Linked DNA regions of Macaca fascicularis. The protein of the gene in region 1 purifies or fractionates together with the protein of each later gene. This does not show direct contact. Links are inferred from orthologs where the notes say so. Each region holds a gene or a part of one and is shown in the gene's direction. Other genes may lie near its edges. The genes, in order: EIF2AK2, NPM1, MAVS, DHX30, ADAR, STAU2 and STAU1.

The links.
Region 2: the proteins of EIF2AK2 (region 1) and NPM1 purify together in Homo sapiens (affinity purification with western blotting; 3 studies listed by BioGRID and IntAct, with this or other methods). This does not show direct contact. The link is inferred for Macaca fascicularis from reciprocal best matches to the Homo sapiens genes EIF2AK2 and NPM1.
Region 3: the proteins of EIF2AK2 (region 1) and MAVS purify together in Homo sapiens (affinity purification with western blotting; 3 studies listed by BioGRID and IntAct, with this or other methods). This does not show direct contact. The link is inferred for Macaca fascicularis from reciprocal best matches to the Homo sapiens genes EIF2AK2 and MAVS.
Region 4: the proteins of EIF2AK2 (region 1) and DHX30 purify together in Homo sapiens (affinity purification with mass spectrometry; 3 studies listed by BioGRID and IntAct, with this or other methods). This does not show direct contact. The link is inferred for Macaca fascicularis from reciprocal best matches to the Homo sapiens genes EIF2AK2 and DHX30.
Region 5: the proteins of EIF2AK2 (region 1) and ADAR purify together in Homo sapiens (affinity purification with mass spectrometry; 3 studies listed by BioGRID and IntAct, with this or other methods). This does not show direct contact. The link is inferred for Macaca fascicularis from reciprocal best matches to the Homo sapiens genes EIF2AK2 and ADAR.
Region 6: the proteins of EIF2AK2 (region 1) and STAU2 purify together in Homo sapiens (affinity purification with mass spectrometry; 3 studies listed by BioGRID and IntAct, with this or other methods). This does not show direct contact. The link is inferred for Macaca fascicularis from reciprocal best matches to the Homo sapiens genes EIF2AK2 and STAU2.
Region 7: the proteins of EIF2AK2 (region 1) and STAU1 purify together in Homo sapiens (affinity purification with mass spectrometry; 4 studies listed by BioGRID and IntAct, with this or other methods). This does not show direct contact. The link is inferred for Macaca fascicularis from reciprocal best matches to the Homo sapiens genes EIF2AK2 and STAU1.

The regions. Positions count from the first base shown.
Region 1 is NC_088387.1:85,022,749-85,026,685, forward strand, and holds the start of EIF2AK2 (interferon-induced, double-stranded RNA-activated protein kinase), read left to right. Parts: upstream 1-1,137; 5' UTR 1,138-1,173; intron 1,174-3,937.
Region 2 is NC_088380.1:178,186,693-178,190,192, forward strand, and holds part of NPM1 (nucleophosmin), read left to right. Parts: intron 1-463; coding exon 464-583; intron 584-1,182; coding exon 1,183-1,276; intron 1,277-2,191; coding exon 2,192-2,298; intron 2,299-2,395; coding exon 2,396-2,460; intron 2,461-3,500. UniProt on the Homo sapiens protein: Involved in diverse cellular processes such as ribosome biogenesis, centrosome duplication, protein chaperoning, histone assembly, cell proliferation, and regulation of tumor suppressors p53/TP53 and ARF.
Region 3 is NC_088384.1:83,440,129-83,444,165, reverse strand, and holds the start of MAVS (mitochondrial antiviral-signaling protein), read left to right. Parts: upstream 1-1,237; 5' UTR 1,238-1,297; intron 1,298-4,037.
Region 4 is NC_088376.1:110,779,241-110,782,740, forward strand, and holds part of DHX30 (ATP-dependent RNA helicase DHX30), read left to right. Parts: coding exon 1-197; intron 198-634; coding exon 635-755; intron 756-1,466; coding exon 1,467-1,616; intron 1,617-3,500.
Region 5 is NC_088375.1:106,558,151-106,561,650, forward strand, and holds part of ADAR (double-stranded RNA-specific adenosine deaminase), read left to right. Parts: intron 1-1,235; coding exon 1,236-1,418; intron 1,419-1,730; coding exon 1,731-1,843; intron 1,844-2,299; coding exon 2,300-2,427; intron 2,428-2,600; coding exon 2,601-2,838; 3' UTR 2,839-3,500. UniProt on the Homo sapiens protein: Catalyzes the hydrolytic deamination of adenosine to inosine in double-stranded RNA (dsRNA) referred to as A-to-I RNA editing.
Region 6 is NC_088382.1:83,572,816-83,576,836, reverse strand, and holds the start of STAU2 (double-stranded RNA-binding protein Staufen homolog 2), read left to right. Parts: upstream 1-1,221; 5' UTR 1,222-1,249; coding exon of another isoform or gene 1,250-1,303; intron 1,304-1,722; exon of another isoform or gene 1,723-1,905; intron 1,906-4,021. UniProt on the Homo sapiens protein: RNA-binding protein required for the microtubule-dependent transport of neuronal RNA from the cell body to the dendrite.
Region 7 is NC_088384.1:105,253,024-105,256,974, reverse strand, and holds the start of STAU1 (double-stranded RNA-binding protein Staufen homolog 1), read left to right. Parts: upstream 1-1,151; 5' UTR 1,152-1,404; intron 1,405-3,951. UniProt on the Homo sapiens protein: Binds double-stranded RNA (regardless of the sequence) and tubulin.

The DNA.
Region 1 (3,937 bases):
TCAAACAATTCTCCCTGCCTCAGCCTCCGGAGTAGCTGGGATTACGGGTGCCCGCCACCACGCCTGGCTAATTTTTGTGTATTTTAGTAGAGATGGGGTTTTGCCATGTTGGCCACGCTGGTCTTGAACTCCTGACCTTAGGTGATCTGCCCCCCCCTCGGTCTCCCAAATTTCTGGGATTACAGGCATGAGCCACTGCACCGGCCTAGGCATAATATTTAAAGTATATTTGAGGTCTGTCTTGGGACCACCTCCCTCTCTTATCCCAGCTAAGATATTGAGAGTACAGACTCCTGGTTATAGTTCTAACTCCGCTGCTTACTAGTTGTGTTAATCTAACTCCTCTGTGCCTCAATACTCATTAGTCACTGTGCCAATGACTGTGGAACTCTGTGTGACTCTGGGAGTGTGTCACAGTCCATCAGGTGAGTAGAATTTCTATAAATCGAGGACTACTGGTGTTGGACTATAGTAGGAAACTCCCTGGGGTACTGTAGGGAGCAGGTGGCTCTCTTTAACAGCAGGACTGGCCCGCAGGTGCTTTTACAGCGGCTGACAAGTGTCTGCTCATGAGTGAATGGATGGGTGGGAGCAGAGTGAAGGAGATTACGCCCCCAGGCCTCGCATCCCCAGCCTTGTAAAAGTGAGGGGGCAGTGGTGTGGCAAGTGGGGAGGGGCGCTTTGGTGTTTACAGGCCTGGACTTTAACTGAATCCTGGCTTTCCCACTTACGAGCCGCTGGACCCCTAGGTAAGTTCATTTACTCAATTTCCTCTATTGTAAAATGGAGCTGCTAAGACCCATCTTCCCAACCCCTCTCCAAATATTTGTGTTGAGAGTAAGTGGAACCCTTGATTCCAGAACCTAATGCAGCCAAAGCCACCTGCTCCAGGAGCCCCGGGGCGGGGAGGGGGAGGCGGTTGGGGGTGCGGGGTCCTGGCCGCGCAGGGGCTGCACATGGGTGACAAGCCCGCCCGCCAGTGCCGGCCGCCGGCGCCTCTCGCGCGCACTCTGGATCCAGTGCCAATTTACCCCAATCCCGTAGCAGACGAGGGCTTGTGCGAGAGGGGGCCGGGCGGCTGCAGGGAAGGCGGAGTCCGAGGGGAAAACGAAACTGAGAGTCAGCTCTCCCGAAGCTGCGGATCTCTGGCCGGCGGCGGCGGCGGCGGCGCAGGTGAGCGGGGCCGGGGGCAGCCGAGGGAGCGCAGGGAGCAGGGGCCGGGGGGCCACGGGATAGGGGCTGCGGGCCCAGCCGGGGCGGGACCCGCCGATCCTGCGTCCCCAGCTCAGGACGCGGAAGCTGATCCGAAGCCCCTGGCCCCGGCTGGGTCAGCAATGGGAGAGCAGTCCGAGGCCCACAGCCCGGGTGTGGGGCCCTCCCTGAATCCAGGGAAAGGATCGTGGAGCGGGATGGGGACTGAAAGCCATTTTCTTCCCGTGAAGAATTTTTATCAGTGCAAGTAACAAATATTTCCTAGGCAGCGGTTGTGGGGCTGGGTCTAGTGGATGATGAATAGGCCTAGTGGCTTGACATATGGAAAATACGGAGGCCTGAAATACTCATAGACTGGCTGAACAATCTCTGGCTAAAAATCTCTTGCATGGAGAGTTGCAGTAGTTTCCCAATTGCCTGGCCTCGGTTCCTGTTCCCACTCCGTCTCCTTACCCCCGAACCTCCACCCCCTATCTCTTCTACACACCTCAGCAACTGGAATGTTCCTTTAAGTAAGAACCAGACTCTGCCCTGCTCAGACCTTCCCCATAGCTTTCCTGTCTCGTCAGAATCCTATAAACATTTATTAAGGCTCACCGGCAAGGTCCCTTGCACCCCCTACTCCGCCCATGCTAGCTTCCTTGCTGTTCCTGGCGCACAGCCAAGCATCCTCCAGCCTCTAGGCCTTTACACTGGCCTGTTTCTTCTTCCTGGAAAGCTTCTCCCTCAGATACTTGCATGGGGAAACCCCTCCCTTATCCTACACTGCTTCCCATGCCAGCTTATCAGAGCAGACTTCCTCAAACAACCTGCATATGCAAGAAACCCCACTCTGCCCTTGCTGTTCCCCCTTCCACTACCTCAATTTTCAACATAGTAGTTACCACCTGGTGATATCTTTTCTTTTCTTTTTTCTTTTCTTTTCTTTTTTTTTTCTTTCTTTTTCTTTTCTTTTTTTTTTTTGAGACAGATTCTCACTCTGTTGCCAGGCTGGAGTGCAGTGGTGCGATCTTGGCTCACTGCAACCTCCGCCTCCCGGGTTCAAGCGATTCTCTTGCCTCAGCCTCCCGAGTAGCTGGGATTACAGGTGCCCACCACCACAGCCAGCTAATTTTTTAATTTTTAGTAGCAACGGGGTTTCACCATATTGGCCAGGCTGGTCTCAAACTCCTGACCTTGTGATCCCCCACCTCAGCCTCCCAAAATGCTGGGATTATAGGCATGAGGCACTGCGCCCGGCCACCCGGTGACATTTTCTTATGGGTTGTTCCTCCACTGGTAATTTCACAATTACCTATAGCAGGGTTCACTAGTATAGTCCCAGCACCTAGTACATAATAGGTGCTGATTAAATGTTTGCTAAATGAATGGTAATTCAAAAACTCCCTTTTGAATTCCAAAATAATGAGGCGTCCTGTTGCCCATGTTTCCTTCTTTCCTTCCTTCCTTCCCTCCCTCCCTCCTTTCTTTTCTTTTTCCTCTTCTCTTCCTTCCTTGTTTCCTTGTTTCCCTCTCTCTCTCTCCCTTCTTTGTTCTTTTCTTTCTCCTTTCAAGATGGAGTCTCACTCTGTCGCCCAGGCTGGAGTATAGTAGCTTGATCTCGGCTCACTGCAACTTCTGCCTCCAGGGTTCCAGTGATTCTCCTGCCTCAGCCTCCTGAGTAGCTGGGATTACAGGCACACACTACCACACCAAGCTGATTTTTATATTTTTAGTATATTTCATCATGTTGGCCAGGCTGGTCTCGAACTCCTGATGTCAGGTGATCCACCTGCCTCGGCCTCCCAAAGTGCTGGGATTACAGGCATGAGGATTACATGGCCCCATGTTTTCTTTAGTACTAAAAATGCCATGCCAGATGGAAGGTAAAAGACAGGCTCTCTGATGTCACTTGGAAATTTAGAATCTTGGGCAGATTATGCTATTGTTTTTCAGTTTGTTTATTTGAACCTGGAGATCCTGAATACTTGACCTGTAGTTTGTTTGTTTGTTTGTTTGTTTATTTATTTTAGATGGAGTCTTGCTCTGTTGCCCAGGCTGGAGTGCAGTGGTGCAGTCTCAGCTCACTGCAACTCTGCCTCCAGGGTTCAAGTGATTCTCCTACCTCAGCCACCTGGGTAGCTGGGATTACAGGCATGCACCACCATGCCCAGCTAATTTTTGTATTTTTAGTAGAGACGGGGTTTCCCCATGTTGGCCAGGTGACCCACCCACCTCGGCCTCCCAAAGTGCTGGGATTACAGATGTGAGCCACCGCCCCCCACCGTTTATTCATTTATTAATCAGATGCTAGTTGAAGGAATGATCTATGTGAAGCCATGTGCTGGCCCTGGAGGGGACTAAGCCTGCAGGGCGACTATAGTCGCTGGAAGGGAGTGGAGGCATAGCCGAAGTAATGTCTGGGCATTAGTAAGATGGACAAATATCATTTTTTAGTGATTATGATGGAGGTTTCTTCCAGATGAGTGAATAAGATGTAGAATCTGCTCCCCAAATAACTCACTAATTAGTTTAAAAAGCAGTCAGGGCTGTGATGAAGGTTGGGCAAGGTGGAGTGGCAAGCCCATACTAGCTGACCCTCCAGCATCAAAGAAGGCTGTGTTGATCCTGATTGATGAGTGGAGATTGGGAGATTGGTGGGTACAGAGAGAATGCAGATATTGCACTATAAATGTAGAGGAAAGCAGGTGACAAGTCCTGGATGGCGTATCTGGAGATATTTTGG
Region 2 (3,500 bases), on another chromosome or scaffold:
GTAGCTGGGATTACAGGCATGTGCCACCATGCCTGGCTAATTTTTGTGTTTTTAGTAGAGACGGGGTTTTACCATGTTGTCCAGGCTGGTCTCAAACTCCTGACCTCATGATCTACCTCAGCCTCCCTAAGTGCCGTGGGATTACAGGCATGAGCCACCACCGCCCTTTCCTATGCTTACATGCACAAATACTTACTATTGTATTTCAGATGCTTACAGTATTCAGTACAGTAACATACTGTACAGGTTTGTAGCCTAGGTGTGTGTAGTAGGCTATACCATCTAGGTTTGTTAGTATAAGCACATTCTTATGATTGTACCAAGATGAAATTGTCTAACAACACATTTCTCAGAACCTAGCCCTGTGGTTAAGTGACGCATGGCTGCATATAACATTTAGTGGTGGGGGGGTGTAAAATAGGTGGAACTCAAAGTTGAAGTGGTATTTTTTTTTTGTTCACAGGTCAGTTTAGGGGCTGGTGCAAAGGATGAATTGCACATTGTTGAAGCAGAGGCAATGAATTACGAAGGCAGTCCAATTAAAGTAACACTGGCAACTTTGAAAATGTCTGTACAGCCAACGGTAAGGGCACTTGTATACTTTGGATGTTGTGTCAAGGTTTAATTCTGTTTTAAGGTAGGTTTGGTGTCATTTCGTTGTGCCAAAGAGATAGAAAGTGGTTCTTTATCTTCTGTCACTGGAGTTCAATGGTCAGCTCTTGAACATGGGGGTTTCTGCTGCTAGTTTATCAGAGGTGGAAGAAAGGTTCACTGGTTTGTGGTTTTTGTTTTTTTTTTTTTGAGATGGAGTCTCGCTGTGTTGCCCGGGCTGGAGTGCAGTGGCCGGATCTCAGCTCACTGCAAGCTCCGCCTCCTGGGTTTTTACGCCATTCTCCTGCCTCAGCCTCCCGAGTAGCTGGGACTACAGGTGCCCGCCACCTCGCCCAGCTAGTTTTTTGTATTTTTAGTAGAGACGGGGTTTCACCGTGTTAGCCACGGTGGTCTCGATCTCCTGACCTCGTGATCCGCCAGTCTCGGCCTCCCAAAGTGCTGGGATTACAGGCTTGAGCCACTGCGCCCGACCAGGTTCACTGGTTTGTTGATTTGGCTTATGTGTTTGCTTGTAATGTTTATTGTACATTTTCTTCATATGTTTAGTGATTAAAAATTTCTTCCTTCTAGGTTTCCCTTGGGGGCTTTGAAATAACACCACCAGTGGTCTTAAGGTTGAAGTGTGGTTCAGGGCCAGTGCATATTAGTGGACAGCACTTAGTAGGTATGTTATTTTTATGTATTATACTACTTAGTTTATTCTCTTTAATGCAGTTGCTTGGTTCCCAGTTTGGACTTAAAGCATGGGTATAGTACTACTGTCTTTAAAATAGATTCCAGTGTGAGTCTAGAAATTTATAATTGGAGAGGACAAATAAATTTTTGGAGTGGGGGGACAAAATCTTGATCTGTCACCCAGGGTAGAGTACAGTGGCACGATCTTGGCTCACTGGAACCTCTCCCTCCGGGATTCAAGGGATCCTCCTGTCTCAGCCTCCCCAGTAGCTGGGACCACAGGCGTGTGCCACCAAGCCTAGTTGTGTTTTATAGTTTTAGTAGAGAAGGGGTTTCGTGAAGTTGGCCAGCCTGATCTTAAATTCCTGGCCTTAACGTGTTCTGCACGCCCTGGCCTCTCAAAGTGCTAGTACTACATGCGTCAGCCACTGTGCCTGGCCTAAAATTTTTTTTTAATAAAGACAGTCTCATTCTAAGGCTGGAGTGCAGTGATCGTAGCTTGTTACAGCCTTGAACTACTGGGTTCACATCAGCCTCTGGACTAGCTAGAACTACAGGCACACTCCACCACGCCTGGCTAATTTTTTTTGTATATGTGCAGATGGAGTCTCACTGTGTTGCCCAGATTGGTCTCTTGGCTTCAAGTGGTCCACCTTGGCCTCCCCAAAGTGAGATTACAGGCATGAGCCACCCTGCTCAGGCTTCTTGCATTTAAAACCTGGCAGTGAACGTTAGGCCTCAGAATACCTTTGTTAAAAAGTTCCTTTTCCCATTTGCTCTTTTTTTAAAAAAATAGAATAGAAATCTCAGTTTTTAGAATATTTACTGTATGCTATCAGTGTTCTTTTTTTTTCTGATTTCTTTGCTGCTTGAGTTTTATAATGTCTAATAAATTGTATCTTAGCTGTGGAGGAAGATGCAGAGTCAGAAGATGAAGAGGAGGAGGATGTGAAACTCTTAAGTATATCTGGAAAGCGGTCTGCCCCTGGAGGTGGTAGCAAGGTTCCACAGGTAGAGATGGCAATTTTATTATAGGTTTTGTATTACAGATTTTAGTTTGGTGATAGAACAGCTCTTGTTCATGAGTATGTGCCTTTTCTTTTAAAAGAAAAAAGTAAAACTTGCTGCTGATGAAGATGATGATGATGATGATGAAGATGATGATGATGAAGAGTAAGTATGATCTTAGAAATTTGATACCCTTCTGAAATCTTAACAGATAAAAAGGAATTTGACATTGTTATATGCATGAGGATTTTATAAAAGTCATTTATGAAAAGCCATCCTGTGTAATAGTTTATAATAAAAGGGCAAGTGGTCATCTGTTGTCAGTTTAAGTTAAATGAGCTGAATTGAAAGGATATTGGGTCATGAGCCTTTACAGTGCTGTGACTCGTGACTCTTCAGAAGGGTAGGCTATAGCATTTGCAAAGTTTGATTATGTCCCTTTGTTTTAAAGATTTAGTGGATGTTATACCCATCAAGCCTGGTATGTATTATGGTGAAGTTAATTAGATTGGGTTGAAAGAAAATCTGACTAAAGGCCGGGCGCGGTGGCTCAAGCCTGTAATCCCAGCACTTTGGGAGGCCGAGACGGGCGGATCACGAGGTCAGGAGATCGAGACCATCCTGGCTAACACGGTGAAACCCCGTCTCTACTAAAAATACAAAAAAAATTAGCCGGGCGAGGTGGCGGGCGCCTGTACTCCCAGCTACTCGGGAGGCTGAGGCAGGAGAATGGCGTGAACCCGGGAGGCGGGGCTTGCAGTGAGCTGAGATCCGGCCACTGCACTCCAGCCTGGGCGACAGAGCGAGACTCCGTCTCAAAAAAAAAAAAAAAAAGAAAAGAAAATCTGACTAAATAGCTCTATATTCATTTTACAAATTGTTACTGAAGGTTTGTTATTCCCCAAAAGGATTTTGGCTTGTGCTTTTATGTAGATACTTAATGGACAAAAATAAGATCCTAAAAGGGATATTAAGATTTTTCTTGGGATTTAAAATATGATTGGAAACATTAATTTTTTTTTTATATTAAACTGGATCAAACTTGGTATAAACAGTTACATGCACACTGGTATAAAGTACTGTTTATAATTGGTCTTATGTGTGCAAGTATCAGTAATACATTAAATACTTGGCTCTCAGCTTTGTTCTTCAGTTCTGAGATTGGTCCATATGCATTTATGGAAAACACATTAAATAAAATATAA
Region 3 (4,037 bases), on another chromosome or scaffold:
CCACCACTTTGGGAGGCCGAGACGGGCGGATCACGAGGTCAGCAGATCAAGACTATCCTAGCTAACACGGTGAAACCCTGTCTCTACTAAAAATACAAAAAAAGTAGCCGGGCGTGGTGGTGGGCGCCTGTAGTCCCAGCTATTGAGGGGGGGGGGCTGAGGCAGGAGAACCCGGCAGGCGGAGCTTGCAGTGAGCTGAGATCGCGCCACTGCACTCCCGCCTGGGAGACAGAAAGAGACCCCGTCTCGGGGGTGGGGAGGGGGGAAGTATTAGATATGAAGCTGCTAGAGCCCGGTGGGGAGCAGGCAGGCTTGATTCTTGAACTAATCCACATTTATGCCCTCTTGGCTAAACTAGGCAGAGCTGGTTTTATTACAGTTCAGGTGTGATTAAGCATACTTTGTAAATGCTGAAGGTTGTGAAATATTCACAGGGATATAAAGTACAGTAATAAAATCTCACTTGAGGCCGGGCGTGGTGGCGACAGAGGGAGACTCTGTCTCAAAAAAAAAAAAAAAAAAAAAAAAAAAAAAATAGAAGGCCCTGTGCCTGGAAGGCAGTAAGTGCTCAATAAGTGTTGGCCTCTGCCCCAGAAGAGGAAGGGCGAGACAGATGGCAGGAACTGCGGGAGGTACCTGTCCCAGGCCCTTGGGCGTAAGAGGCCTCTCCCACGCAGGACCCAACCCATACCCAGCCTGCCAGCCAGCCAACCTCGGCGTCCCTGCCTTGCAACTACCTGCCCGGCAGTCCCCCGCCCGCTCCCACTCCCACAGGCCCAGCATGCGCGTCTCTAGGCTATGCATCCTTGCCCCTGTGACTTCAGCGTCACCCAACGTTTATTGGGCACTAACTGTATGCCTGGCCATGGGGATGCAGGAGAGAAAGACACGAAGACCCTCACCCATCAAAACTACCGGCGGAAGGAGGGGCTGTTTCACTTGGGAAGCGTGGGGATGGAATTCTCAGCCCCCTGAGGACTTCGAGGCCGGCCGCCTGCCTGGTTTCTGGCCGGACACTGGACTTCCCCTGGAAGTTGCTCGAGACTACGCGCCCTCAGCAGAAAATCAGGTCGGTTCTCGGTGCCCAGCCTAGCGCTTCTCGACCAGCAAACCAAGGCCCAGTGCCCGCCCCCGCCGCGCCGCGGCCTGCGCCGCCAGCCAACCACGCGCGGCCGAGTAGCCCTGCCCCTCCACGTGACCAATAGCCGCGCGCCCTGCCCGCCCCGCCCCCTCGCCGAGGGAGGGGTCTTGGGCCCCGGGCGGCGGTCGCCAGGTCTCAGGGTCGGGGCTACTCGAGGTAAGATCGCTGCCCGGGCGATGGGTCCTCTCGGCTCAGCACGCACGGACGCCTTTAGGGAAGGTGGCTGCAGCGGCAGTACCGAGTCCGCCGGGACGCCCTGGGTCTGGGGCCGCGGGGGCCCAGGAGGGGACAGGGCGCGCGGGGCTCCGGAAGAGTCGGCCCTGTGGCGCACGGGGTTCGGGAACATTGAGGGCTCCAGGCGCCGCATCCAGCATCCAGGGAAAAGGGGGTGGGTCGCGCTGGGCGTCTGCTCCGGCTAGGGGAAAAGTAGGGCTAGAAGGGGACGGGCAGCGGCCGCTGACCTCTTCCTGCCGCCCGCGGGCCCAGGGTGACGCTAAGTTGGGGCGGAGCCTCGACTAGTTGCGCCTTGAGGTCGAGTGCTGCTGCCCTCCCCTGGGTCCGGACAGTTCTTGGCGGCGACACCAGCTCAGAACAGCCTCCCCGCCCTCAGCGGACCTGGGTCTCGCCCAGGAATCCGATCCGAGGCTGTGAGGCCTGTGCCTTTGGTGGGGGTGGGTATTTATTTCCGGGATGCACTCAGAGCCTCTGGACAATCAGGTCGGAAACTTTGCTGCATCGGGAACACTCTGTCACCTCCTTCCTTCTCAGATGGGAAGGAGGTGCCAGGAAAACAATGAAACAAACCAAAAACACGAAAAAGGCATTCTCTGTATGGAAGCCGTGAAGCCTCAAAAATATCTAGGAGGACAGCCAGCGACCTGGGGCCTGTGGCAGCCATGTGAGGGCAGGGTTAATGTTTGTACTAAATGTTGCTTCCTCCCAAGTGCACCCTCAGCCTCCCCTCCACCAAGTGACCTTGGGTCCTCTTTGGGCTTGAAGGCAGGTGACTGTGTGGGTCTCTCTTGCTGCAGGGGTCTCTGTGCCCTGCAAGGTTTATGACTGGCTACAGTGAGGCAGCAGTTTCTGGGTTCAAATCCTGTGCTAGCCTTTGGCCAGCTGTGCACCTTGGCATCACTTTCCCTGTCACGGGATTGGGGAAGGTTTAACTGAAAGAACCTTAGGATGTGCCTGTCTGCAGTGCGCCCTCCATAAATGTGAACAAATGTGGGCTTCCTTTCCTTTTGGTTGGGCCACATCGTCCCTTCTCCTCCATCTGTGGCTTAGGCTGGAATGCAGAAGAGTGCTTCATCTGACTGCCTCCTGGTACCTGGCTGATGCCATGAGAAAGGAAGGAGAAAGGAGTCTTTTTTTTTTTTTTTTTTGAAATGGAGTCTCACTCTCTTGCCCAGGCTGGAGCGCAGCGGCCCAATCTGGGCTCACTGCAACCTCCGCCTCCTGGGTTTAGAGATTCTCATGCCTTAGCTTCCCAAGTAGCAGGGATTACAGGTGTCTGATACCATGCCTGGCTAATTTTTGCATTTTTAGTAGAGACTGGGTTTCACCATGTTGGCCAGGCTGGTCTCAAACTCCTGACCTCAAGTGATCTGCCCGCCTTGGCCTCCCAAAATGCTGGAATTGCAGGCATGAGCCACCATGCCTGGCCGAGAAAGGAGTCTGTTAACTCCCACAGAGTTGTTCTTTGCTTATTTCTTGAAGGCTCAGAGGACCCCCACCTCACCTTCCTGACTCTCCCGACCTGTCATTAGTACTTGCCCCAGGAGGAATGCAGCAGCGCCTGGTGGTTGGCAAAGCAAGTCGTGCATGTGAGGTTCTGAGGCCAGTGACAAGACTGTTTCCCCTGTGAGGAGGGTCTGGTGGCCCAGCAGCTTTTAGATGCTGTCTGCTTGCAGCACTGCCTCCTGAGAGAGGTTTCATGCCTGCCTGATGCCCATTTGGTCCTCTCCTGTCTCCTTCCCTCCCTGACAACCCACTTGGAATCCAATAGCATCTCAAGCTTCACTTGTTCAGACCTGAGTTCTGGAGTTCCTTCTGAGCCACTGCTCCTCCCCTGGCTTCTTTGGCTTGGTAAAAGGGCACCTTCCATCCATCCAGTGCCCAAGGAGTCATCCTTCTTTTCTCTCCCTTATCTCCTACACCCTCAAAACACCAGGAATCTGGCTGCCTCCTTCCATCTCTGTGGTTCCCATCCTGACCATAATCATCCTGTCTCCTGGGCTGTGGCCTCCTGACTGGTCTCCCAGTTTTCATCCTGGCCCCTCCAAAGTCCTCACAACCACCAGAGAAGTCTTTAACGCAAATCAGATCCTCTTCTTTCCCTGCCAGAACCTTCCAGTGGTTCCCTGTTTCACACCAACTAAAACCCAGAGTCCTTTCTTATAGCACTCTACATGAGTGGCCCCTGCCACCTCCTTGACCTTGACAATCTCTGCCCCTTTCCCTAGCTTGCTTGCTTGCTTTTTTTTTTTTGATGGAGTTTTGCTCTTGTCACCCAGGCTGGAGTGCAATGGGCACGATTTCGGCTCACTGCAACCTCTGCCTCCTGGGTTCAAGCAGTTCTCCTGCCTCAGCCTCCTGAGTAGCTGGGATTACAGGCACCCACCACTATGCTAATTTTTGTATTTTTATTTTATTTTTTTTTATTTTTATTTTTATTTATTTATTTATTTATTTATTTTTTGAGACGGAGTCTCGCTCTGTCCCGGGGCTGGAGTGCAGTGGCGCGATCTCGGCTCACTGCAAGTTCCACCTCCTGGGTTCACACCATTCTCCTGCCTCAGCCTCCCGAGTAGCTGGGACTACAGGCGCCCACCACCGCACCTGGCTAATTTTTTGAAGTTTTTAGTAGAGATGGGGTTTCACCGTGTTAGCCAGGATG
Region 4 (3,500 bases), on another chromosome or scaffold:
CCCACCATGCCCCCTACTTCCTGGCGGCAGCTGAATCCGGAGAGCATTCGGCCAGGGGGACCTGGGGGCCTATCCCGCTCTTTGGGCCGGGAAGAAGAAGAGGATGAGGAGGAAGAGCTAGAAGAAGGGACCATAGATGTTACCGACTTCTTGTCCATGACCCAGCAGGATTCCCACACCCCACTCAGGGACTCAAGGTACAGATTGGGGATGGGGATGCAGCGGAGGCTGGCTGTGCCTTGACACAGGGATGGGCGAATGTTCTCTGCTAGCTTTCTCTGAGATGGGAGTGCCCTGCCTCACATTGCAGCCTGTGTGTCCCGTCACTCAGTGTGTGTCTGCCCATTCTTGGGGGACAGCCAGCTGTGGTCTTCTATGTGGCTGGGCTTTTGCAGAACAGCAGCACGGAGAACCTGCTCTCTGCTGTCTTATCTATGTGAGGGAATGGAGGGCGCAGTCCCCATCCAGTGTGGCTGTGGGAGGAGCAGAGATGCCCGGTTTCCCATCCATTTCATGCCTCCTGGCCTTTTGGCTCCCTGCTGCAGTGCAGTGTCCTCACCCTTACATCTCAGAGCCTCAGGGAAATTGGTCCAGGAAGAGAAGATTCTTTCAGCTAAACTTTTGGTCCTCCCAGGGGGAGTTCCTTTGAGATGACAGATGATGACAGTGCTATCAGGGCTCTGACCCAGTTTCCACTTCCCAAGAACCTTCTGGCCAAGGTGATTCAGATTGCAACATCATCCTCCACAGCTAAGGTGAGTTGGGTCTCCTAGAAGTGTGTGTGGGGGCCATTTACTTGGTCATGTCTGGTGTTCCCCAAAGGCAGGTTTACAGAGGGCTGAGGGGGCCTGTTCCTCCAGCCCACACCTCGGCCAGCTGGTGGAACTCCGGCGTGGAAGGAAAAGCAGTCAGTGTGACAGAATGGAGGTCAAGTCTTAGCAGCACAGGGCGTGGGCTGGGGGCCGCAGGAGCAGAAGACCCATACCTGTTCTGGGCGGTGGATTGTCAGTGGGGAGGGCTTAGAGGTGTGGGTCTTGGTGAGGTATGAGTTTCTCTCTTGCTACCAGGCAAAGGGGCTTCGGTTAGGCAGAGCTTCTGTCCGGGTGCAGGGCCTTTTTGCTCCCGCAGGATGTGCCTGGTTTTTAGCTCATGCTGACAGCTTCAACCCACAGCTGCCACGAAGGTGCTGAGATGACTGAGCTAGGAGGGCAGGTGGTGGAATTGCCCAAGCACTGTCTTCCGCAGTGGAAGTCGAGGTATAGCAGGAGAAGCGAGCCTGGGACTAGAGTGCCCGAGCCCATGGGCCTGCTCCTGGCTATGCAGCAGCACCTCTAGCATGGCTCATGCCGGGCATCTGCTGAGATGGTGGCTCCTTCCGTCTCTGGGCTCCTTGGCATTCTGAGAATGCCCCAAGTCTCTTCCCATTCCCTGCATTTCTGTAACCATCTCTCTTGCCTTCCATGTAGAATCTCATGCAGTTCCATACTGTGGGCACCAAGACCAAGCTGTCTACACTCACCCTGCTCTGGCCCTGCCCCATGACCTTTGTTGCCAAAGGGCGCCGCAAAGCAGAGGCTGAGAATAAGGCGGCAGCCTTGGCCTGCAAGAAACTGAAGGTGAGTCCAGGAAGGTCCTGGGTGTGATGCATGAGAATGTCTTGAAGCTCCCCTCTGCCAGTGGCAAATGGGTCCCATTTTTTAGGAAATGAAACCACCACAGCAGGCCTTTTGCCTGGCACAAAGACAGCTGGTCTGCAGGCCTTGCTTGTAGGCCCTGTGGCTGTTGCCACAGCTTTCCCAGAGCCCCTGTGGAGATGCTTTGACTGTGCCCCAGCCTTTTCCACACTGTTGGCCTGAACCTGGTGAGGCCGGGAGGAAACTTGCTCATTGTTCTGAATAGTATAAAGCCAGGAGGAGCCGGGCCTGTTTTGAGAGGCAGACCTGGTGTCCAGTATGATCCTGATAACCCGGGTTTTGTGGCCAAAATGAATAATGTGACTTGTGACTGCAGTGAAGATTGAGGAAGCAGTCAGCATCAAGGTAGAGACAGTGTGGCAGACAGCTGGCAGTTCTCTTTTGACACAGGGTCTCTGTGGCCCAGGCTGGAATGTAGTGGCACGATCATGGCTCACTGCAGCCTTGACCTCCTAGGCTTGAGCGATCCTTTCACCTTAGCGTCCTGCATAGCTGGGACCATAGGTATGCGCCACCACTCCCAGCTAATTTTTAAACATTTTTTGTAGAGACAAGGGTCTCACTGTGTTGCCAAGGCTGGTCTTAAAATCTTGGGCTCAATCAATCTTTCTGCCTTCACTTCCTGAAGTGTTGGGATTGCAGGCATGAGCCACAGCTCCTGGCCATGGCAGTTCTCTTTAAAGGGGCTGTGGAGTTAGCTGATGGCACAGTAGTGGGAGGGCGTTGGGATTGTGTCTGACTGCCTGAGGAGTTAGTAATCTCAACCCATGTTGGTGGAGGTTTAGTTTGCAGAACAAGACAGAAATGGGCCTGCTTTACTCTGAATGGTCAGGTGCACCATTTCATGGGTGCAGTTGGCCCCGGGAACCACGTTTTAGTTATAGCTGATGGTCAGGGGTAACAAGAACCTGGAGAAAATGAGGAAGAGGGGACAGGCAGGTGGTGAGATAGAAGGCATAGATCTGCTACCTGTGACTCGAGGGCAGAACAAGGACTGACTGTAGAACTGGAGGCATCTGAGCTTTGGCCTGACGCACACGCACTGAGCAGAGGCACCTTGGTATGGTGGGGCCTGTCTGGGAAGGAACAAGCTTTGCAGTGGCTGGAGGGCCATTTGTCAGGCTGGTGGGTAAAACCCATGAAGTCTGGGGAGAGGGCGGAAGCCTGTTCTTGCAGCAAGGAGCTTGTGTTGGCACCTCCTGTGGAACGAGGACCAGATTCCTGTCCTTGAGGTCCTTACAGCTGATGGTGCCAGCGTGCCCAGAGGCAGGGGGTTGGCCCCTGTTGTGGAAAGACTTATTTAAGGAGGAAGTGTTTGATCTGGGCTCCGAAGGGCGAGCAGAGTCCAGACATTAGAGGTGACAGGAACACAAGACTAGTTTTACCCACGTGCCTGAGGTATTGGAATGCCATGTTTTATCTCTGGCGAGGTGGCTTTAGGTATGTAAGGAGGTAAGACACAGTGTTTTCCTTGCAGTGGCTTGTTTGATCAAGTTGCATTATAATCAACATTTATAGGAAACTCCACGTGTATCTATATGATGGGGTTACAGATGGGTCAGGTGCCATGTAGGGACTAGGAGGTGGGATGGAAGAATGATTGAGGGAGGAAGGCTTTGATGAGGCAGCAAAGGAAGAGGGAGTCTGTGGGGTGTATTCTAGCGTCATTGAGGGCCTGGTCTGGCTGGTCCGAGGGTACACGTTGGGAATTCACGGAGGTGACAGGGGCCTATTGTGGTGTTGGAGGGGCTCTAGTCGCACAGTGAGTGGTTTCTCCTCAGGGCCTTCCCCAGACGTAGGGCTGTT
Region 5 (3,500 bases), on another chromosome or scaffold:
CACGTCAGCAGTCATCATGGTGGTCCTGAAACCCTGCTAAATACCCTAAAGTATAGACACAGTTACATGGAGCCAGTGCTCCACTCCTAGGTGGATGCTCCAGAGAGATGGAGACCTGTGTCCACGCGGAAACTAATATGTGAATGTTCATGGCAGCGTTACTCACAAGAGCCAAAAAAGTGGAAACAACCCAGATGTCCATCAGCTAATGGATTCATAAATAAAACATCAAGTATATCCATAAATTGAGTATTATTTGGCCATAAAAAGAAGTGAAGTGCTGATACATGCTTACGATATGGATGCACTTGAAAACTTGATGCCAAATGAAAAAAGCCAGTCACAAAAGATCCCATATTGTATGATTCCATTTATATGAAATGTCCAGAATAGACAAATCCATAGAGACAGAAAGTAGATTAGTGGTTGCCAGGGCCAGGAGTGGGAGGGTTGGAGAGATGAGAAGTGACTGCTCCAATGGGTAGAAGGTTTCTTTTTGGAGCGATGAAATGTTCTAAAATTGACTGTGGTGACAGTTGCAGAAGTCTGTGAATATACTAAAAACGACTGAATTGTATGCTTTAAATGGGTGAACTGTATGGCATGTGAACTATATTTCAGTAAAGCTGTTGTTTTTTTTTTAAACCCTATGGTGGTTTCCCACTGCACTGCATATACAAGCAAAACCTGCTGTGATCACCCGGCCTCCTCTCATGCCACTTTCCCCATTCCTCACATATGCTGTGTCCACACTGGCTCTCTGTCTGCCCCCTAAACAGCCAATCCGCTGGCTACCTTGGGCCCGTTGCTTTTGTCCTGTGTGCCTGAAACACTCTTACTCCAGCTGTCCTTCTCCTCCATGTCTGGGTTCCCCTGCTGCTGCTGTCCCAGGAGGTTCCCCCTGTGGTCCTCCGTCATAGCTCCCTCAAAGCCTTCAGAGCACTATCAGCATGTGGAATTCTGTATGTACTGGCTACTGGTTTAGTGTCTGTTCTCTCCCCTTTCAATCTCCTCACCACTGTAGATGTTTTAGGAGGACAAGCATCTTACTTGGTTTTGCTAACCAAGTTCTTTCCCAGCACCAAGCATAGTGCCTGGCACATAGCAGATGCTGTGAAATATGTGAAGAATGAATGAATGTTGCCTGTGGCTCAAGCTTAAGGAGGATAAAAACCACGCCAGGGAGTGGTTTGGTCCACTGGCCCCTGTAAGTCTGACCCAAGTCTCTCACATAGGAGAAGGCACAATCCCTGTGGAATCCAGTGACATTGTACCTACGTGGGATGGCATTCGGCTCGGGGAGAGACTCCGTACCATGTCCTGTAGTGACAAAATCCTACGCTGGAATGTGCTGGGCCTGCAAGGGGCACTGTTGACCCACTTCCTGCAGCCCATTTATCTCAAATCTGTTACATTGGGTAAGAGGCCTGCCTTGGGATCTGGAACTGGTCTGTCGTCCTTGTGCCCAAATCCCAAACGGCATGTTTTGTTGCCAGGTGTTTTGTCTCCCCTGTCAAAGTGAGCATGAGTCACCCCTCAGTTACTGGTTGTCCAGTCTGCTGTGCTAGGGAGATCCTGGGTAGCCCCGGTCAGAAGGTGCTTCCTAACAAGGCAGCTGTTTCTCTTTCTTGACAACTGCATTTTGTACCTCCAGAATCCCCACATGCCCCTGCCTCTTAACAGCATTTGGTGCAAACACAGGTATATATGTTTCTCTTTTTTGTACACAGGTTACCTTTTCAGCCAAGGGCATCTGACCCGGGCTATTTGCTGTCGTGTGACAAGAGATGGGAGTGCATTTGAGGATGGACTACGACATCCCTTTATTGTCAACCACCCCAAGGTGCTATAACCCCCCTTCTGTTTTCCCTGACATTTTTCTCCTTTTCAAGCAGTCACATAAATAGAGGAAAATTGTACAATATGAGCAAGGGGAGCATTGCCCGCAGTGGTAGCCCACATTGGAACATTACCCCCAGGGGAACACTGCCCGCAGTGGTAGCCCACAAGGGAACATTGCCCACAGTGGCCCACCACCAACATTTGTTGGTGTCCCAAGAACTTTAACTGTCTTCCTTTTGGATGCCAAGGGCTTTCCTTCTCTTAGTCTGGAATTAATCTGAATCGAGGTGGAGTTAGTATGTCTAGAGTGTGCTCTGTCTTAGCCAAACAGAACCCTAAATACAGGAGAAAGATCATGACTCTGCATTTCCTCTTTGCTGTAAGTCTTGAGTCCCTGCTTCAGAATCTTATTCCTGAAAGGTTTCCATCTTTCTCCCATTGCTTCTGGGATTCCTAGGTTGGCAGAGTCAGTGTATATGATTCCAAAAGGCAATCTGGGAAGACTAAGGAGACAAGCGTCAACTGGTGTCTGGCTGATGGCTATGACCTGGAGATCCTGGATGGTACCAGAGGCACCGTGGATGGGTAAGGAGACAGGAGAGCGCAGTGAGGACCAAGCCTCTGCCCTGACTTGCAAGGGTGCATCATACCTCTGCAGTCTCAGGGCTTGAGAGCCACCTTCCCTGCCACGGTTTCTCCACTGTGAGCTCCTCATCTTACAGGTCCCAGGTGAATAATGAGTGCTTTTGTTTCTCTAGGCCACGGAATGAATTGTCCCGGGTCTCCAAAAAGAACATTTTTCTTCTATTTAAGAAGCTCTGCTCCTTCCGTTACCGCAGGGATCTACTGAGACTCTCCTATGGTGAGGCCAAGAAAGCTGCCCGTGACTACGAGACGGCCAAGAACTACTTCAAAAAAAGCTTGAAGGATATGGGCTATGGGAACTGGATTAGCAAACCCCAGGAGGAAAAGAACTTTTATCTCTGCCCAGTATAGTATGCTCCGGTGACAGATGGATTAGGGTGTGTCATACTAGGGTGAGAGAGAGGTAGGTCGTAGCGTTCCTCATCACATGGTCAGGGGATTTTTTTTTCCTCCTTTTTTTTCTTTTTAAGCCATAATTGGTGATACTGAAAACTTTGGGTTCCCATTTATCCTGCTTTCTTTGGGATTGCTAGGCAAGGTCTGGCCAGGCCCCCCTTTTTTTCCCCCAAGTGAAGAGGTAGAAACCTAAGAAGTTATCTTTTCTTTCTATAACTCAAAGCATACATAGTCACTGAGCACCTGCAGTCCATTTCCTCTTAAAAGTTTTTTTTTTTTTTCCATTTCCTTTCCCTTTGTGTTTGCTACACTGACCTCTCGTGGTCTTGATTAGGTTTCAGTCAATTCTGGATCATGTCCGAGACTGATGATTTCTTTTGTGGATTACGCAGACCCCTCTACTTCCCCCTTCCCCTTCTGAGGTTCTTTCCTTGTGATCAGAATTTCTCCTTTTCTCCCTCAGAGGGTAAAAAGGTGAACTTAAAGGATCTGGTGAAACATTTGTAAGGGTAGGAGTTGAAAACTGCAGTTCCCAGTGCCACGGAAGTGTGATTGGAGCCTACAGATAATGCCCTGCCATCCTCCCATCCTGCACTTTAGCCAGCTGCAGGGCGGGC
Region 6 (4,021 bases), on another chromosome or scaffold:
GAGCTGAGACTTCATCTCAAAAAAAGAAAAAAAGAAAGAAAGAAAGAAAGAAAAGGATTATACAGTTCTTCTACTGTACGTTTTCTATGTTTAGATACAAATACCTTGTGTTGCAATTGCCTACAGTATTAGCACAGTAACACACTCTACAGGTTTGTAGCCTAGGAGTAACAGCTATATACCATATAGCCAAAGCGAGTAGTTGGCTAGACTACCTAGGTTTGCGTAAGAGCACGCTATGATGTGCACAAAACAACAAAAATCGCTCAATGACACGTTCCTCAGAACATATGCCTGTGGCTAGGTAAGGCATGACTGTATGAGAATGCTGACTAGGTGCGTGAGCCGCTAGAAGGAGCGCTGCAAATTTGGGAAGGATGCAACATGTTCAATACGAGGTAACTGGCAGAGGTGAAAAGGAGGGAAAAAGCATAGGAAAGAGTTCTGGGAGGAAAAATACAGCTGTAGCTAACATTGTACCAGGAGAGGTACTACATGCCCGGCCCTGTTTAAAGGGCTTCATATGTATTGTCACATTTAAATACAAAATATCACATGTAGTCTCCTCTTGAGGTTCAGGATAAGTAACATGCCGGTGATCTCCTCTCCAGTTAGTAAGCGGATATCCAGCCTTGGTTATCTGACTCTGGAGCCCTTGCTCTTAACCAGGACGCACACTATCTTCCCAGGTGTAGACAGGAGATTGGTTTTAGATGATGACTGAAATCACCGTCCTGGGAGACATTTCTCAGAGAAGTGACACCGGGAAGAAACTCTAGAAATAACGTTGCAAATGAATAAGTTTGTGAAAGCACACTAATAGTTCTATTTCGAAATTTCTTTTATTGTCAGATTATTTTTGGTGCCCGTTACTAAACGAAGTGTTCAATTTCGTCGAGCTTAACTGGGTTGAAGTTATCTAGACAAAAGTAATCCACATCAAAACCAGGACGAATCAAGACGTAATTTCTGTTTTCTGGCACTCTTGCCTCATAAATCTAGGATCTAGGGCTTTGTTTTCAATGGTTCTCATTTTTGGCTCCAAGGATTCTTTTGGATGTGACTAATTTTTTCGGTGGAGGAGGAGGTCTGGCCACGCCGCGGGTCTTGGCGAGCAGGTGATTACGGATCCCTGGTGTTTGCTGGATGAGACGGTGAAGCAACCTCCTCCTCGCCCCCTCCCCCGTCTGGAAAGGTGCAGGATCCGCTAAACGGTGTGTCGCACAGCGGCGGCCGGAGCAGACGCGGGATGGTCGCGCGTCCCCTGCACAGCACAGAGGGGCAGCCTGAGAGCCTGGGAAAGGTACGAGCGGGGAATCAGAACACAGGGTGCGGACCAGAAAGAGCAGACGGTCAGTCGGGCGGGGAAGGAAGTTGCCGACTGCAGGTGTGGAAGGGGCTGCCCCAGGCCCACCCCCGGCAGACGAGGGGGCGGGGAGCCGCGCCGGGGACGAGGAGACTGCGGACTGGGCGCGCTCCTAGCGCAGTCGCTCGCCCCCTTGCCCAAGGGCCCCCGGAACGGCCCTCTCTCGGGGGCCCAACTCGCCGCCGCTAGCCCCGCAGAGCTTGCAGCTGGGGGGCCCGGCAGCCGCCAGGGGGCGGGAGCTGCGTCGCGAACAATGGCTGCGCTTGGTCGCGGGCCGGCGAGAGGCGGAGTGGAGATAGAGCCGGTGCCGGGCGCGCGCGCCGGCCGGGCGTGCTGGGGCGCGGGAGCGGCTGCGCAGGCGGGGGCGCGCGGCGCGAGCGCGGGAGGGCGCGGCGGGAGCGCCCGGGAGGCGGGCGGAGGCGGGCGGAGGCGGGGGGCGGGGAGCCCGAGGGGTGGAAGCCGGCGGCGGCCGAGCGGGGTCAGTTCTCTGTACTGTTTGCCAATGTTGGAGCCGTCTGCAAAGTGTTCCTGGCAAGAAGGTAAATACCCTCGTCGGGGGCGCCCGGGAGACCCCGACTTCCGCCCCGCCGGCGGAGGAGGCAGAGGGCGCTGGGGAGCCCTGCAGGTCCGCGGCACGGGGAACCCGGAGAAGAGCGGCCCCCTTCGCGGCCTCCTCTCCCCCGCGCCTTCCCTCCCACCTCGGGCTCTCTCGGGGCAGCAGGGGGGAGGGGAGACCGGCGTGGGAGGGAGGACCGGGAGGCGAAGGATTTGGGGTGGGGGGTGGGGGCGTGTGTGGCGGAGGGGGTGGGACGACACAGGTGTCCTGAGGGGAGGAGCCGGGAGGAACGCGAGGAGGCCGGGCCAAGTCGGGGTGCGGAGGTGGGGGAGGCAGGAACGCGGCTGCGGGCGCGGGAGGCTGGGGTTCTGGGGGGCCGGGGTGGTAGCGGCCGGAAGAGGGGACGGCGAGTGCAGCCACGGTGTGGCTGCGAGGGAGAGGGAGCGCCTGGGGTAGGGCAGGGGAGGGCGGCCTGGGGAGGGTCTGTGGGGAATGGGCCTGGGGGCGCTGGAGGCGGAGCGGCGGGGCCGGGGCGAGCCTGAGGGTGGTGGCGGCGGCTATTTCTGTAGAATGGGCGAGTGGTAAAGACGTAACTTGCCGAAATGGGAGGGTAGGTGGGGCCGAGGGGACAAAATGTATCCTATGACAGGCAAGTTCTGCTGTGGCTCTTACGAACTCCTACCGTGATGGCTCGGCTTAAAGGGGTAGTTGGCGGTAGTGACCTTGCCGGGGTGAAGGGAGTTGGGCGAGGAGACAAAGCTCAGTTACAGAATCCGCTGTGTGAGAGCAGGAACTCCAGTCTCTCCGGGGGCGAGCCGGTGGCTGTGGCCTGGGGGCGGGGGGTGCTCCGCAGAGGCTATGGAGGAGCACGCCACAGTGGGATTCTTAGGGAGGGGTGGGGATAATGGCCGTGGGGATCTGAAAGTCTTTGGAAATGTGTGTAGAATTTTGCATTTGTGAATAATTTTCTTTGGTAAGGGTCCATATTTGCCGTGATGTCCCCCTTCCCCTATCCCCACTACAAAGGGTTAAGAACTGCTTGAGCAGATAGAGAGGGACCATTCAATTAGGGTAGACCTGGGAATTTACCAAAGGATTTTAAAGTGGGTGGATCCTGCAGAAAGAAAGGCTAGAGATGATCTTTTAAAGATATTTTACTGTCAACTGAAAACGTTTATTATTTAATGTTTGATTTCACAATTTTGGTGAACTTTCGCTGAGCATTACTTGGCTTCTGATGCATCCTGTGTTTCAGACCAGCATAGTGAATACTTGAAATAAAATTGGGATGGGCAGGCAGGGTGATAGTAACCTTGGAGGAGAAAAGATTTCAACATTTCTCCAGGATGTTTCTTCCCCGTCCTTGCTTTCTTTAGATGATTCAAGTATACTGTTGTGAACTGAGCTGCGGTGGAAAAATCTTATTTAATAAAACTATCAAAACCAAGACTTACTCTCCATCTCTGTTTTGTAATATGACCAGGTTTTCATTGTTCAGTTTGTATTTTACTGCAAACAAGAGATATCACATATCACTTTAATTGTAGATTGCTGCTTTTTGCAGCAGGCCTGTATTAAATTTGCGAAGCAGTTATGCAAAACTATGTGGTGTGTTTGTGTTTTCCTGCTATGGTTTCAAGTCAAGTTACCATTGTCACATTTCATTATATGGTAGGCTAGTCTGAAATTTACTCCTAAGTGATAATTAGTTGGTAGGATATGGTACGTACTTGCTCACAAATTACTGCATTTTTCCCCGTAAAAACCAGTATTTTGTATTTGTAAGAATGTTGCTGTATAATCCAAGTACATATTGTTAATTTCAAATAGAATGCTGTGTAATTATTAAATTTTAACTTTATTTGGAAGTAATTTTAAGCTTACAGAAAAATTGCAAGAATAAGAATAATAATACAAAGAATATCTTTGTAACCTTTATTCAGATTCACCTGTTAACATTTTATGCATTTATTACTGCTCTCTATCACACACAAAATGTTTTTCCCCTGGACCATTTAAGAGTAAGTTACATACATTGTGGTCCTTAACTCCTAAATACTTGAGCTTGGAAAACCATGTAAATTTTACATTTTAGCTTA
Region 7 (3,951 bases), on another chromosome or scaffold:
GAGGTTCAAAAGATTCTCCTGCCTCAGCCTCCCAAGTAGCTCTGATTACAGGCGCCCACCACTACACCCGGCTAAATTTTTTTTGTATTTTTAGTAGAGATGGTGTTTCCCCATGTTAGTCAGGCTGGTCTTGAACTCCTGACCTCAGGTGATCCGCCGGCCTCGGCTTCCCAAAGTGCTGGGATTACAGGCGTGAGCCACTGATTCTTTACTGGCCACGCTTCCTCCAACCTCCCATATAATACGGCTGCTAAAACCCACTTAGTTTATCTAGATCTGGGTGAAAGAAATAGCAATCTAGCACTTCTTGTCTTTTTTTTTTTTTTTTTTTTTTTGAGATCAAGTATCACTCTGTCGCCAAGGCTGGAGTGCAGTGGTGCGATCTCGGCTGCAATCTCCGCCTCCCGGGTGCGGTTCTCCTGCCTCAGCCTCCCGAGTAGCTCGGACTACAGGCGCCCACCACCACGCCCGGCTAATTTTTTGTACTTTTAGTAGAGAGGGGGTTTCACCGTGGTAGCCAGGATGGTCTCGATCGCTTGACCTAGTGATCTGCCCGCCTCGGCCTCCCAAAGTGCTGGGATTACAGGCGTGAGCCACCGCATCCGGGCTATTGTCTTTTATCTCACTGTAAAATTTTCTGATTTTATTTATTGTGTGTTTTACTCACACAAGAATGTAAGCTCTACGAGGGCACGGATTTTTTGTCTGTTCACCACTACATTCTTAGCCCTTGGAGCAATGCCTTGCATACAGCAAGCATTTAATAAACATTTACAGATGAAGGAAGAAACAACTGCAGGAAGGAGAGAAAGGAGGGCCAGAGGCAAGACAAGAGGAAAGACCGAGAGAAGGAAGGAAAAAGGAAGTGGAGGAGGAAAGAAGGTAGGCTAGGTTCTCCCAGACACGCTTCAAGTCCAGCAGGCAGCACGAAACTCCCACAACTACAACTCCCGGCAGGCCCCGGGGCCCAGGGCGGCCCGCGGCGGCCCAGGCGGGACAGGGCGCCACTCCCGCTGAGCTCCCGGCGTGCCTTGCGAGCGCAGGCTCCGCCGCAGCGCCCGCCGGAACTTGTAGTCCGGGCCGCTGGTGGGGGTGGGGCCGGGCCTGGAGGCGGGCGGGGGACGGGGGCGGGCGCCTGCCCCTCCCCCGTCACTTCCTGCCGGGCTGCGGGCGCCGGAGCGGCTCTTCAGCGTTTGCGCCGGCGACCGCCGCGTCTCTCTCGGCTCCTGCTTCCTTTGACCGCCCCCCCACCCCCCGGCCCGGCGGCGCCCGCCTCCTCCACGGCCACTCCGCCTCTTCCCTCCCTTCGTCCCTTCTTCCTCTCCCTTTTTCCTTCCTCCTTCTCCTCCTCGCCGCCACCGCCCAGGACCGCCGGCCGGGGGACGAGCTCGGGGCAGCAGCCAGGTGAGGCGACCGGGCCGAGCCGGGCCTGGCGGAGCCCGCGCGGGCGCCGCGGTGGTGGGGAGGTGGGCGGCGGGTGGGGCCTAGGCCTCGGCGGGCCCGCGCGCCCCGCCGCCTTCCCCCGGGCCTATGTAGCCCGCGGGGCCTTCCCGGAGGAGGCGGGTCCTCTTGCGCCCCCCGCCTCCGGGCGCCCTGAGGCCTGGCCTCGGGCGCCCCCATCCCCTCCAGCCCTCGCCGGTGTCACAAACAGGTGCCGCGGCCGCCTTTCCTCGTCCCGCATGGCGCGCGCGGGGATGCCGAAGTTATTCCCGGGGCTGGGGCGCGGGTTGGGGGGTGGACCGCTTCAGGTCCCCTAGGGCTGGAGCCTCTCAGTGTCGCCGGCCCAGGTCTGTAGCTTAGTGGTTAAGAGCACGGCCCAGGTGTCCAAAACGGGTGCCAAACCCGGCTCTGCCCCATTAGGCAAGACACTTAAACTCTTTGTGTCTTGGTTGGAAAGGGGGCTGCTAATACCGTCCCTGCCTCTTAAGACTGTTAGGGTTCAGTGAAATGGGGCGTGTAAAGCGCTTATCAGAGTGCCAGACGCAGAGCGTGTCCCAATAAACCGTCTGCATAATTTATTAGCGTGATATGAAGGTATAATTTAATGGACAGAGTGGATAGAAGTTGACCTACCTATCCGTTTGGGTTTCTTAGAGGCTGCAGTGTTCCGCGTGCCCATGTCCAGAGCCAGGGCATTGTTTTGAGTTCTTAACATCTGAAAGGGGCGTACGCTTAATTGGTACATTGTCGTTTGCAGTCTGTAAACGATGGATGCTATTTCTTTCCATGTCCTCCGCTTAGCCAACTGCAGGATATTCACCATCTCCCGCAGGATGAGCAACCTGTCCATTTCCCCCCGCCCCGCCATCAGCCAGCTTCTTGTTGTCATTCCATTTCTGGGAAAGTTGCTGGCAGAAGCTTCCCTTGAGTTGAGCAAACCTATCTGGAGCACTTGCTGTGTATCAGGCTCTGAAGCGGGGTGTACGAAGATGGAAAAATTTGTCTGTCTGTTCTTTCTCTACACCTCGATAAGTTTTTTTCGCTGAAGCTTTGCTTATATTCCCCCCTCCCTGTTGGCTTTCCTTTTAAGCCCTTGCCCCGCCTCCGTGTTGCAGTATTGCTTGTGTGGAAGTTTTCTCCTGTTCCGCGAAGATACGTGCTTCAGTCTATTCTGCCACTGTTCTTCGGCTGTGTGGACGTTTTTAAGTTCACACTTCTCTTCTGCTTGTAGCTTTCATTGTTAAGAGCGTGGTGGAAAGAGTTCAGTCAGGTTCCTGGTTGATTTTGGCCTTTCAGGAATCCGTGCTTACCAAATGTAAATTACATTGCTACTTGTTGAGGTAAAAACTAAAAATACAGTTGGAGTGTAGAGGGAGCAGTTTCGGTTTTCCTGGTGACAGGTGGGATTTTTAGTACAGCAACTTTATTAAAGCATACTGGGTTTTGAAAAATTCTGTACTTAGTTTTATAGGTGTACTCTAAGGAAATGCAACTTATGGGTGTTCAATTTTATACGAGTAAGGAGTGTGTGTTTACCTCAGTGATCCTCCTGTATCTTAGGATTGTTTTAGGCATTAAATTTCATTAGTGGACTGAAAATATTTTTACTTATACGCTTCTCAACACACATGCGGCAAAGTGGACTCCTTGTTTTTGATATTTTCCTAGAATTTTCTGACAGTCTTACCATTGTTTCTAATTTAAAATATTTGTTTGAATTTTTTTTTTTTTTTTTTTTTTTTTTTTTTTTTTTTGAGATAGCCTCACGCTGTCGCCCAGGCTGGAGTGCAGTGGCACGATCTCGGCTCATTGCAACCTCTGCCGCCTGGGTTCAAGCGATTCTCCTGTCTCAGCCTACCGAGTAGCTGGGATTACAGGCGCCCGCCGCCGCACCGTGTTAATTTTTGTAGTTTTAATAGAGACAGGGTTTTGACATGTTGGCCAGACTGATCTTGAACTCCTAACCTTGTTATCCACCCGCCTCGGCCTCCATAAGCAGGTTAGGCGCGGTGGCTCATGTCTGTAATCCCAGCACTTTGGGAGGCCGAGGCGGGTGGATCACGAAGTCAGGAGACGGAGACCATACTGGCCAACATGGTGAAACCCCGTCGCTACTGAAAATACAAAAAGTAGCCGGATGCGGTGGCGGGCGCCTGCAGTCCCAGCTACTCGTGAGGCCGAGGCAGGAGAATCGCTTGAACCCAGGAGGCGGAGGTTGCCTGTGCGACAGAGCGAGACTGTCTCAAAAAAAAAAAAAAAAAAAAAAAAAAACAACACCAAAAAAACCACGTAAGCAAACAACTATACAAACAGTGTAAAGCATGTCTAATACTGCCATATCACTATGGCATATTGCAATAGGGAAATGGTATTTTAAATACCATTTTAAAAAATCTTTTTATTCTGGAAAATATGTAAAACTCGAATAGTATGGAGAACCCCATGTATTAGTCACTCACTCAGCTTTGACAATTATTAACTCATAGCCAAGGTCGGTTTTGTTTCATGTTG